Linked DNA regions of Saccharomyces cerevisiae S288C. The protein of the gene in region 1 binds, or shares a complex with, the protein of each later gene. Links are inferred from orthologs where the notes say so. Each region holds a gene or a part of one and is shown in the gene's direction. Other genes may lie near its edges.

Region 1 (3,754 bases):
ATCAAAGATGATGCTACTCTCTTCTTCCATCTCTTTGATACAATCCATTATGTAGTAACCATATGCAGAAGAGTAAGTAGCTCCGACCTGGTCGGCAAGCATTTTTACCAGCTCAGTTGGCATATACGATATGGTCGTACCTGAATCTAGCAGGACTGGGATCTTTGTAGTGGTTAGGGTTGTCAGATTGTCTTCTTTATCCCCTTTCGACGTACCTAATCCTTGTAAAGTGACTTGGAATTGAATTGGATCCTTGTAGCCGCGATGCTGCAAAGTATTAATGATGGGAATTGTGTATAGGTCGCCCGCATATTTTCCATGATCCACAGCGCCAAACAAAATGGTACCATGTTTCGAATCAGAATCATTTGCGAATAAAGAATAAGCTGTTGATTTTATTACACCCGAATTCTTTAGCACCATCGGAAAGTTATTGTAAGTGTAGCTTTTTTGTACAGAGCTGAGAGAAACACCAGAATAAGTTGACTCCAAGCCAGGCAAACCAATACCCAAGACACCAACTGTTGAGTTTGTTTCGTTTGCTACAGCAAATGATAAACCCGTAATGTTCAAATCGTTCAAGCTCAATTGATCATGGCCCCAGGTACCAGATGCAAAAGTCGTATCACCATAGGCGATCGAAAATTCTGTATTATTGGAGTTGAATGTAGACGACTTAGAGGTATTAAATGTCCCGTATGTAGCGCAGTCAATTAACTGTGATGTAGAAGCTGTACTATCAAAAGTAGCAGTGGCTTCGCTGGTAACTATAGTGGTGTCGTAGCTAATTTCAGTAAACACACTCTCAACCACGCTAGCCAAAGCATCCTTGTTTACTTGTTTAAAGGATGAGCCAGTGGTATCCTTCTTTTTAGTGGAACAGTATGGGTTGTCTGAACCCGTGACCCATAGATCAGAAGAACCAGTGTCGACAAGCACAGTAACTTTTTGAGGAGGGGTGCCAATATCTAATTCCACCGAATAAAAACTGTTTTGATTAGTCAGTTCCACCAGCTCGTAATCATCATCTCTTGTCATCAAACGCGTTCTACCTTTTGTATCATCCAAAGCGTTTTCAAATGAACTGCCGTATTTCTTCTGAAAATTCATTTTGACATAGACTTCATTACTTGGTAAGGATGGAAAATCTGTAACACCGGCATCTACTATTGAGCTGCAGACAAGTAATGCATCTACGACAAATGTGAGGACAGATAATTTCATAGAGCTCTTTCTTTTTCGTTTATTTTTGACGTATTTGCTCAAGCGAATAACGACAAAAGCTTGTTCTCTCGTTGATACTTTTAGCCAATTACAATTTCTTAGCAAGAACGAGTGACGCCAACCAAATTTCTCCCAAAAGTGATTATCTGAATAATGAAAGATGGTAGGAAATAAGGTATTGAAACAGGTTCAAAACTTTAAAAGAAAACTGCCAAATAAACTTTCTCGATGCGTAGCTGAAATTTCAACTTCAAAAAAAAAAAAACGCGTGTAACTTTCTACGTGCAAAACGATGTGTATGAATCCCGTCTTAATTAGTAAATAGGGTCTAGTAAGCGTAGCGAGGATGAATTAAATGCATTGTTGAATATGAAGAGCACCTTATGGTATATAAATGTACAATCTTGATTCATGACAGCTTTGCAAGTAAACGTATCAAATGAATATCACGATTTTGGCTGTATTACCCGGGCAGTATACGCGGCGAATTTTGTTAAAAAATGTGTTAGACTTAAGTCGGAGCAAATGAATAATGGGCATATATAGCGCATAGGTTCGCTAGTGTAAGACAGGAGACTGTCCAATAGCATTCGAATCATAACCGAATCTTTGCCAGTGTGTGTATAAAATACGACAATGTCTTCCAATCCAGAAAATTCTGGTGTTAATGCGAATAATAATACGGGCACTGGTAACGCTGATGCGATCACAGGAGCTCAGCAAAATATGGTACTGCAACCGAGACAGTTGCAAGAAATGGCCGCTAAGTTCAGGACATTACTGACTGAAGCAAGAAATGTAGGTGAAACTACTCCTAGGGGCAAGGAATTGATGTTCCAAGCCGCAAAGATCAAACAGGTATATGATGCCCTTACACTGAATAGGAGAAGACAACAGGCTGCGCAAGCCTACAATAATACTTCAAATTCAAATTCAAGCAATCCAGCTTCTATTCCTACTGAAAATGTCCCTAATTCATCACAGCAACAACAACAACAACAACAACAGACAAGAAACAACAGTAACAAATTTAGCAATATGATAAAACAGGTTCTCACCCCGGAAGAGAACCAAGAATATGAAAAGCTATGGCAGAATTTCCAAGTCCGTCATACGAGTATAAAGGAGAAAGAGACCTACTTGAAACAAAATATTGATAGGTTAGAACAAGAAATAAATAAACAGACGGACGAAGGGCCCAAGCAGCAGCTACAAGAAAAGAAAATTGAACTGCTTAACGATTGGAAGGTGCTAAAAATTGAGTATACCAAGCTGTTCAATAATTATCAAAACAGTAAAAAAACATTCTATGTAGAGTGTGCAAGACACAATCCGGCTTTACATAAATTCTTGCAAGAAAGCACTCAACAGCAACGAGTGCAGCAACAAAGGGTACAACAACAACAACAACAACAGCAGCAGCAGCAGCAACAGCAGCAACAGCAACAGCAACAGCAACAGCAACGCCAGGGTCAAAACCAAAGAAAGATTTCTAGTTCTAATTCTACTGAAATACCCTCTGTAACCGGCCCTGATGCACTGAAATCGCAGCAGCAGCAGCAGAATACAATAACTGCCACCAATAATCCCAGGGGCAATGTTAACACTTCACAGACTGAACAATCGAAAGCTAAGGTAACCAATGTAAATGCAACGGCATCTATGTTGAATAATATAAGTTCGAGCAAATCGGCAATATTCAAACAAACAGAGCCTGCCATACCCATATCGGAAAATATATCTACCAAAACACCAGCACCGGTAGCTTATAGATCCAACAGACCTACAATAACTGGAGGTTCTGCTATGAATGCCAGTGCTTTGAATACACCAGCAACAACTAAATTACCACCCTATGAAATGGATACTCAGAGAGTTATGTCAAAGCGTAAATTAAGAGAGTTAGTGAAGACTGTCGGAATTGATGAGGGTGACGGTGAAACTGTCATTGACGGTGATGTTGAGGAATTACTATTGGATCTTGCCGACGATTTTGTTACTAATGTTACAGCTTTTTCTTGTAGATTGGCAAAACACAGAAAATCGGACAATTTGGAGGCAAGAGACATTCAGTTACATTTGGAGAGAAATTGGAATATTAGGATTCCTGGTTATTCCGCAGACGAAATAAGAAGTACAAGAAAATGGAATCCCTCTCAAAATTATAACCAGAAATTGCAGAGTATCACATCAGATAAGGTAGCAGCTGCAAAAAACAATGGAAACAATGTTGCAAGCTTGAATACAAAAAAATAATTATGTTACCCACATTCTCCACTCTTCCACAGAAAAAATTCCTAAAGTTATAGTTCACATTGTTATATATGTATCTATAAAGCGAAATTTTTTAAAATTAATTGATTAATTAATATTTTGTATCTAAAGTGTTCATACTATATTATTTACTTAGATTATACATAATTAAAAAAAAAAAAAACTTTTTTTCCTTGTTTTCATTTTGTTTTTATTATTAAATATTAAAAAAAGTGTCCATAACATCAATGTTTTTTTTTACCTTTGATTAGTTTTC
Region 2 (3,128 bases), on another chromosome or scaffold:
AATCGAAGCAGTATCAGAAGCTTTGAAGAAAATCTGGGAAAAGTTAACTAATGAAAAGGAAAAAGTAAATTATCAAATCAAAACTGATTCAGAGTACGTAACCAAATTATTAAATGACAGGTATATGACGTATGATAATAAAAAACTTGAAGGGCTACCTAATTCTGATTTAATTGTTCCTTTGGTGCAGAGGTTCGTTAAAGTTAAAAAGTACTATGAGTTGAATAAAGAGTGCTTCAAAAATAATGGTAAATTTCAGATTGAATGGGTAAAAGGACACGATGGTGATCCAGGAAATGAAATGGCAGATTTTCTGGCGAAGAAAGGAGCATCTAGACGATAATGCTGTTTTTTGCTTGGCTTCTTACTGGACCTGTTGTACCTGTAATAGAAATATATATTTTATATCTTTTGCATACATATACATACATCAGCTATTTGGTTTTTTAACTTACCCGATAACTATCTATAAGCGTGTCACCATGATATTTGCCTGAACCTCGTCCACAGTTGATTGTGTTTATTTTTACTTTTATTCATAGCTATTTGATTTCAGTTTCAGCTAAACGTTCAGCAAGATCATCTACTTGTACTTCTAGCAGTTCCTTTTCAAGCCTTTCCGTTTCAATTTCTTCGAGTTTTTCATCCTCGTCCTCGTCTTCCTCGTCCTCGCCTTCCTCATCTTCACTATCGACCTCTTCAAAATCGTCAACCTCTAAATCATCAAATTTGCTTTGGAGCAAATCTAAAGCATCAGAATCTTCATCTAATCTGTTACCATTTATTTCTAGCTTTTCCAATTCAGGTAAATTTCCCTTTTCCATAGCCGGTAAGAAGGATACTTCAATGGTTTCTTGAGCCATTTCATTATATTCGAATTTCAAGACATGCAAATTGGGGAATTTAACTTCGGTGAATACTTTAAAGACTTCATCTGAACCAGCAGTTTTCAAAAGACAGTCGTTCAAATTCAATTCAAATAAACTATCCTTCCATGTAGGCAAGGCCTTAGCAAGGATCAAAGAAGCATGTTTCGTGAAAGTATTGTCTTGAAGATCCAAGATTTCCAAGTTTTTCAAGTACTGTAAACCGTAATGAATTAGCGTGGCGACACCTTTAGGCCTAATACCATTTTGGTACAGCTTTACGACTTTCAAACCTTCGGAGTGGCTTTTCAAACCCAGAGCTAAGTAGACTGCGGATCCATTCTCTAATCTATTTCTACCACAGATAAAAGTTTCCAAAAATGGTTTGGAAGCAGCTTTCTTATTTTGAGCGAGATGAAATAGGGCCTTACCAATCCTTTCACCAGCAAAAGGGCCCATACCATTGTTACTTAAGATCAAATGTTTGATATTCACGGCATGTGCAATGTAATCTTCTAGTAACTCGATTGTTCTTAGCCCAAACGCATTATCAGAAAGGTTCACAATCTCCAAGTGAGGACATTTCAACAGAACAGGCAATAAAAACTTCAACGAATCAACGACTTCGTCAACCAACCTCGAAGTGTATAAGTCAGCAAAATTTACTTCAACCAAAGATTCCCTGACCTGTGTATTTTCAGCGATGCATTTAGCTAATGCTTCCGAAGCTTCAGTACCGATTGTATTCCCTGAAAGGTCTAATTTGGTACAGGTTTTCAAAGCTGCCAATTCTTCCAGGTATGGTTTGATATCGTCACTGGTTGTTAACTTGAGTGCCTTCCCAGAGATGGAGTAAACTTGTTCTTCCTCGTGCTGAGGAACGAAGTGCAAGGTAGCCATAGCTAAAAATCTGTTTCGAAAGACAGCCTGTTAAAATGGCCTATATTCACCTTTTACCGTGATATTATGCCTTTGATCAATATCTTCCTAATAAATTTTTTTCCATTAATTGTCCCACAACGTGCATAGTGACATGCATTCCATGACCAAACTAAGAGCTTTAAATCAAAAGTAGAATTTGACATTATGAAACAACACGACAACAAGAAAAGACTAGAGGACTTCACAGACCATTATGAACGGCGGAGGCAAGAATGTTTTGAATAAAAACTCAGTGGGCTCAGTATCAGAAGTTGGTCCGGACTCAACACAAGAGGAAACGCCACGAGATGTCCGTCTTTTGCATCTGCTCCTCGCATCACAGTCGATTCATCAATATGAGGACCAAGTACCGCTACAATTGATGGATTTTGCACATAGGTACACACAAGGAGTCCTTAAGGACGCGTTGGTTTACAACGACTACGCTGGCAGTGGAAATTCTGCCGGCAGTGGATTAGGAGTAGAAGACATACGGCTTGCCATTGCAGCGAGAACACAATACCAATTTAAGCCTACGGCACCTAAGGAGCTCATGTTACAGTTAGCTGCGGAAAGAAACAAGAAGGCATTACCTCAAGTGATGGGTACGTGGGGTGTCAGGCTTCCCCCAGAAAAATATTGTCTCACAGCGAAGGAGTGGGACCTTGAGGACCCAAAGTCTATGTGAATGCACCGCTTATATATCATAAGTACACTAAATCAAGTTCTTCCGGAAGATGCGTCATGTAGAATGCATAATAGAGTAATATACACTAAATAATGCGCTAGTCGTGTATCGTGATCATGTTCTCTAATGTTCTTTTTCCTGCCTGCCCTTTCCTACATGGAAAGTTAGAGAAATGAGATCTACACGATAATGTAGTAACAAATGGACCCTTAAACATCTCAATTCATCTTCTTGAGAGCACTTTCCGCGCTGTATTGATTTTTAGAACGTGAAAAGGATAAACTGAAAACTTGAAGTCCTAACCATGTTGTCTCAAACCTCCATACCGGAAGTGAAAGAAGACGTGATAGGCTATGCGCTACACCAGAGGAGAGCCAGAGTGGGACAATTCCAAGACTTGGGTCCGCCTGATTTAATTACTTTGATCAAATCGTTACCTTCATCCTCGAGCACAACAACTGCTACTGCCTCCGCCAACGATAACGGAGCAACTTCAAACATCAATGGACAAGATCCTACGACCATAGTTACGGAGTTACATTCCCATGACAAATTAAAGGGGCAGATCGGCACTTTCTTTTACTGTATGGGTATCGATACTTCGGATCCAACTTCTATTACAATCTTTGCCAAAAAGATAACCGATCTTTTCT
Region 3 (3,754 bases), on another chromosome or scaffold:
TGAAGACGAGGAAATCAAAACAACGAAAAAAGTCAATCTTCGAAGGAGCATAGAGGCGAATGACTACTGAACAATGAATCAGGAAGACAACACGGGCGGAGGGGGCATTTTTGGTCTTTTCAAATGGACTAAGGATGCGCTGTTTGGTACGGACATATCACCTTCAATGAAATATAAAGATCAGGAAGAACGAAGAGACCGATCTAGGTATGCCCAAGACGACACAAATTTTTCTATGAAGTTTGGAAATGACTCCAACAGGAGGAGTACAAACTTATCGAGGTCAAATTCGTGGTCTGGTCTGGATTCAACGCTCCATAGGAAGTACGAGTTACTCCCAGAGTACAACGAGAACGGCTTTAACTCAATTGTTAACGGTGACCACCACAGCAAAGAGAGAATACGATCTTTACGAAGTCCTGCTCCGATAGTACCGAGAGAACCACTTCGTAACGAACCTACGGATACATTTGGTCACAGACTACACACAAAAAGGAGAACTATAAATGAGCTTTCCAATTCGCAGATACCCTTTATACCACCTCAGGAAGACGACCCTTTGCTCTCGAAATTATTTAACAAGGATGGAGTTAATGAGGTTAGAAGATCGCCCTATAAGTTATCGGTTAAAGATATACCAGGCAAATTTCCATCTCCCTTAACAAAACGTGATGAAATAGACAATTACTATGTCCGGGACGAAGATGCTTGCCACAAGAATAGAGAGTATAAAAAGGCATATTTTGATCTTTTTGCACAAATGGACTTGAACAGTAGAGACCTGGAAGATTTGTGTGAGGATGTTAGAGAGCAGCGTGAGCAATTCCACAGGAATGAGCAAACTTATAAGCAAGCATACGAGGAAATGAGAGCAGAACTGGTCAACGAGTTGAAGAAATCTAAGACACTCTTTGAAAATTATTATTCATTAGGTCAGAAGTACAAGAGTTTGAAAAAGGTCCTTGATCAAACGATCAGTCATGAGGCTGAACTGGCCACTTCTAGGGAACGGCTGTATCAGGAGGAGGATTTGAAAAACTTTGAAATACAAACATTGAAGCAAAGACTATCCGATTTAGAGCTGAAATATACCAATTTGCAAATAGAAAAGGACATGCAGCGGGACAATTATGAATCCGAAATACATGATTTATTATTACAGCTTAGCCTTCGTAATAACGAGAGAAAAGATACTTCTGCTGGTTCGAATATTTTTTCAACAGGACAATAGGACAGGACTCCATTCCACAATGGAAATAACAGTTACGACTCTAATTCGCATTCATGGGACACTGATTACTTAAAAAATATAGACGGATTCATAGAACGCTGAAGCAGAAAAGCTGACACGTTTCTCCCACTGTAACATTAAAAATACGTCATGATAGCAATGATAATGTGTTAACTACTTAGGTATGTACATTATATAGATAACGGAATAAAAAAAGATACGTTCTTATTATCATCACTCAACACGAGCTGTAATTCCCGCCCATTTTTTCTTCATTATCAGGTTGCGATTTTGAACAAAAAAAGTGAAACTTGAAGTTACGATGTGACATAAATTTGTTAAAATAAAAAAGATAAAATTCAGGATAGAAGTAGGTGCAACGCGAAATTGTCTCTGTCTACTTGTGCCTTGAACATCGAACTTACAACAGATTAACAAAGTATCGTTGCTCTTTTCATTCGTCTGTTCGTTATCATCATTGGATAGGGCTTACTTTCTCGCACGTGATTTTTCCCACAGTATAAATTTTGAGCTATAAGTGGTAATAAAAATTCAATAAAAATATAGGGAAAACAAGCCCAGTAGTTTTGATTTCTTCTATCATGTCAGCTATACAATCGCCAGCACCTAAACCTCTGCAGCCAACTTATCCAGCTGCTTCGCCAGCTTCCACGAATGCATATATGAAGCCGGGCCTAATTGGTAGTCCTGCCGTCAGTAATCATACCGAGCCTAACAATGGTAACAATGAAACTGCGGAGCCTCAGGGACCAAATCAGAGAATTGATTTGGGTGCCATGATCGAAGAATTAACCTCACTATTGGGAAAAGAAAGCTGGACGAAATATGCTCAGATCATCAGTCTTTTCATTTTAGGGAAGTTATCCAGAAAGGAACTTTCTAATGAATTAGAGCTGGTATTTTCACCAAGCGCTGCAAGCTTAGAAAAATCAAATACAAATCATCACCATAGTTTAGTACGACTTCATAACCAACTTTTATTAGGGATTTTTGCTAATTCATTACGTGAAAACCCTCTTGGGAGAAACGGTAATGAGAGTTCTTGGGGATTTGGCAATGGAAGCAACAATCCAAACAATAAACTAAAAAGAATCAATAAGCATAACTCTCAAATTGAAGTCTATAAAAAAATTGTCATGTCGTTACCTCTAAATGATCGAAATAGACTTAAAATGATCACGAAAGAGGCCGGCAAAAGAGGCTTCATTTTTTGCTCTGTATTTCAAGCCAGATTAAATAATATACCCAAAATTCCCATTGTAACCAATCCAGAAAGTTTGAAGCGTGTCAAGAGCAATAATTTAAAAACGCCGCTGGAATGGTCACAAGATATAATGAATGGATTCAACGTTCCTTTAGCGAGCGAAAGCCATTCTTTACCAGACACGGATTCGTTTTACTTAAGAATGGTTGGTATAGCAAGAGAACATGGGTTAGTCGGCACAGTGGACGCACGTTGCGTAGAGCTTATATCATTGGCCCTAGATCAATATCTAAAAAATATAATAGAGTTTACTATTGATACAGTTCGTTATAGAAGGAAGAAATATTCAGATTATTATGATTTGAATGAGAGTGGGCTTTATAAATCCGTATCAGAAATGGCTGCTGATAAACGCGATGCCAAAATTAAGCAGTTAGATGATGATAAAAATGAGGATGAATGTGCCGATGAAGCCAAAAGTATTAATAACGGCAATAACAGTAGCAAGGACGATATTGGCGACATATCAATGAGCAGCATTACAAAGGCTGGCGAAGCAGTTAATGAGGAGTTACATGAAAACAGAACGATATCATTAACGAATGAAGACATATATGATTCGTTATCTATATTTCCGAATTTGGTTGAACCTTCAGGTTCATACTATGCGTTAACTAATTTAGGGCTAGTTAACGATGATGAACTAGTAGATATGAAGAGCAATATTGACGACTTGCCGGACTTCTTAAATGAAAAGCCGACTTTCACGCCTTTGGATGAAAGAAACGTTGGTACAAGGCATGAATTAAATTGGTTAATTAAAGGAATCTTAACGGAAGATTGATGTATAAAAAGTGTGTGTATGCGGTATGTTGTAATTATATTGAAAGATTATAAACCTTATTTGTTTCATATCTAAATGGCTGTGTTAAGAAAGACGATAATGTGACCGAGCTTAAGTGAGCTTTTTCTTTCTTTTACAAAGTTGTGTTTGAACTTCTTCTGAAATCGTTAATAATTTATTGACATTTTTTGAATCGTTCAAGTTTAGCAAGAAAAAGGATTTAGTATCAGAAATTAGTTTTTTCAGAACAAGTGCAATAGGGGTCTCGCATGATTCCTTCTTAAAGATGCTTTTATCAAACTGTTCAATGGACTTCAGATTATTTAACTCGATAAAATAAAAGTCCACCGGTACGGGGTCATTGTTGCCATCGCTTTTTGAATCTCGAGGAAAAAACTGCACCTTGATTATACCCATCCCAGAATGAGGTAAATTTGGGTGTTCATCACAACTA

Evidence for each region.
Region 2: the proteins of TAF12 (region 1) and TAF9 are in contact, whole or in part, in a cryo-EM structure (PDB 6TB4), measured with the Komagataella phaffii proteins. The link is inferred for Saccharomyces cerevisiae S288C from one-to-one orthologs. Residues at the interface, in XP_002491504.1 of Komagataella phaffii: Phe543, Arg546, Leu547, His550, Arg551, Lys552, Arg559, Asp560, Leu563, Arg567, Asn568, Ser578, Asp579, Glu580, Ile581, Arg582, Arg585, Tyr593; in XP_002491029.1 of Komagataella phaffii: Tyr40, Gln48, Asp49, Thr51, Ile52, Tyr53, Ser54, Asp55, His56, Ala57, Ser65, Asn66, Asn69, Ala70, Gly71, Thr72, Glu79, Asp80, Leu83, Ala86, Ala87.
Region 3: the proteins of TAF12 (region 1) and HFI1 are in contact, whole or in part, in a cryo-EM structure (PDB 6T9I), measured with the Saccharomyces cerevisiae proteins. Residues at the interface, in NP_010429.1 of Saccharomyces cerevisiae: Lys417 (codon at 3,109), Lys419 (codon at 3,115), Leu420 (codon at 3,118), Leu423 (codon at 3,127), Val424 (codon at 3,130), Thr426 (codon at 3,136), Val427 (codon at 3,139), Gly428 (codon at 3,142), Gly432 (codon at 3,154), Asp433 (codon at 3,157), Gly434 (codon at 3,160), Glu435 (codon at 3,163), Thr436 (codon at 3,166), Val437 (codon at 3,169), Ile438 (codon at 3,172), Asp439 (codon at 3,175), Asp441 (codon at 3,181), Val442 (codon at 3,184), Glu444 (codon at 3,190), Leu445 (codon at 3,193), Leu446 (codon at 3,196), Leu447 (codon at 3,199), Asp448 (codon at 3,202), Leu449 (codon at 3,205), Ala450 (codon at 3,208), Asp451 (codon at 3,211), Asp452 (codon at 3,214), Phe453 (codon at 3,217), Val454 (codon at 3,220), Thr455 (codon at 3,223); in NP_015069.1 of Saccharomyces cerevisiae: Arg235 (codon at 2,536), Leu241 (codon at 2,554), Leu259 (codon at 2,608), Ala260 (codon at 2,611), Ser261 (codon at 2,614), His264 (codon at 2,623), Ser265 (codon at 2,626), Leu266 (codon at 2,629), Pro267 (codon at 2,632), Asp268 (codon at 2,635), Phe272 (codon at 2,647), Arg275 (codon at 2,656), Met276 (codon at 2,659), Ile279 (codon at 2,668), Ala280 (codon at 2,671), His283 (codon at 2,680), Gly284 (codon at 2,683), Leu285 (codon at 2,686), Val286 (codon at 2,689), Gly287 (codon at 2,692), Thr288 (codon at 2,695), Val289 (codon at 2,698), Asp290 (codon at 2,701), Arg292 (codon at 2,707), Cys293 (codon at 2,710), Glu295 (codon at 2,716), Leu296 (codon at 2,719), Ile297 (codon at 2,722), Leu299 (codon at 2,728), Ala300 (codon at 2,731).

What each region holds. Positions count from the first base shown.
Region 1 is NC_001136.10:744,878-748,631, forward strand, and holds TAF12 (Taf12p), read left to right. Parts: upstream 1-1,860; coding exon 1,861-3,480; downstream 3,481-3,754. Other genes in the region: MKC7 (aspartyl protease), read right to left, coding at 1-1,224; DNA-binding transcription factor SWI5, read right to left, coding at 3,736-3,754. UniProt on the Saccharomyces cerevisiae protein: Functions as a component of both the DNA-binding general transcription initiation factor complex TFIID and the transcription coactivator SAGA complex.
Region 2 is NC_001145.3:740,970-744,097, forward strand, and holds TAF9 (chromatin modification protein), read left to right. Parts: upstream 1-2,001; coding exon 2,002-2,475; downstream 2,476-3,128. Other genes in the region: RNH1 (RNA-DNA hybrid ribonuclease), read left to right, coding at 1-343; GTPase-activating protein RNA1, read right to left, coding at 543-1,766; BCH1 (exomer complex subunit), read left to right, coding at 2,780-3,128. UniProt on the Saccharomyces cerevisiae protein: Functions as a component of both the DNA-binding general transcription initiation factor complex TFIID and the transcription coactivator SAGA complex.
Region 3 is NC_001148.4:67,652-71,405, forward strand, and holds HFI1 (Hfi1p), read left to right. Parts: upstream 1-1,833; coding exon 1,834-3,300; downstream 3,301-3,754. Other genes in the region: BBP1 (Bbp1p), read left to right, coding at 74-1,231; VIK1 (Vik1p), read right to left, coding at 3,412-3,754. UniProt on the Saccharomyces cerevisiae protein: Component of the transcription coactivator SAGA complex. SAGA acts as a general cofactor required for essentially all RNA polymerase II transcription. At the promoters, SAGA is required for transcription pre-initiation complex (PIC) recruitment.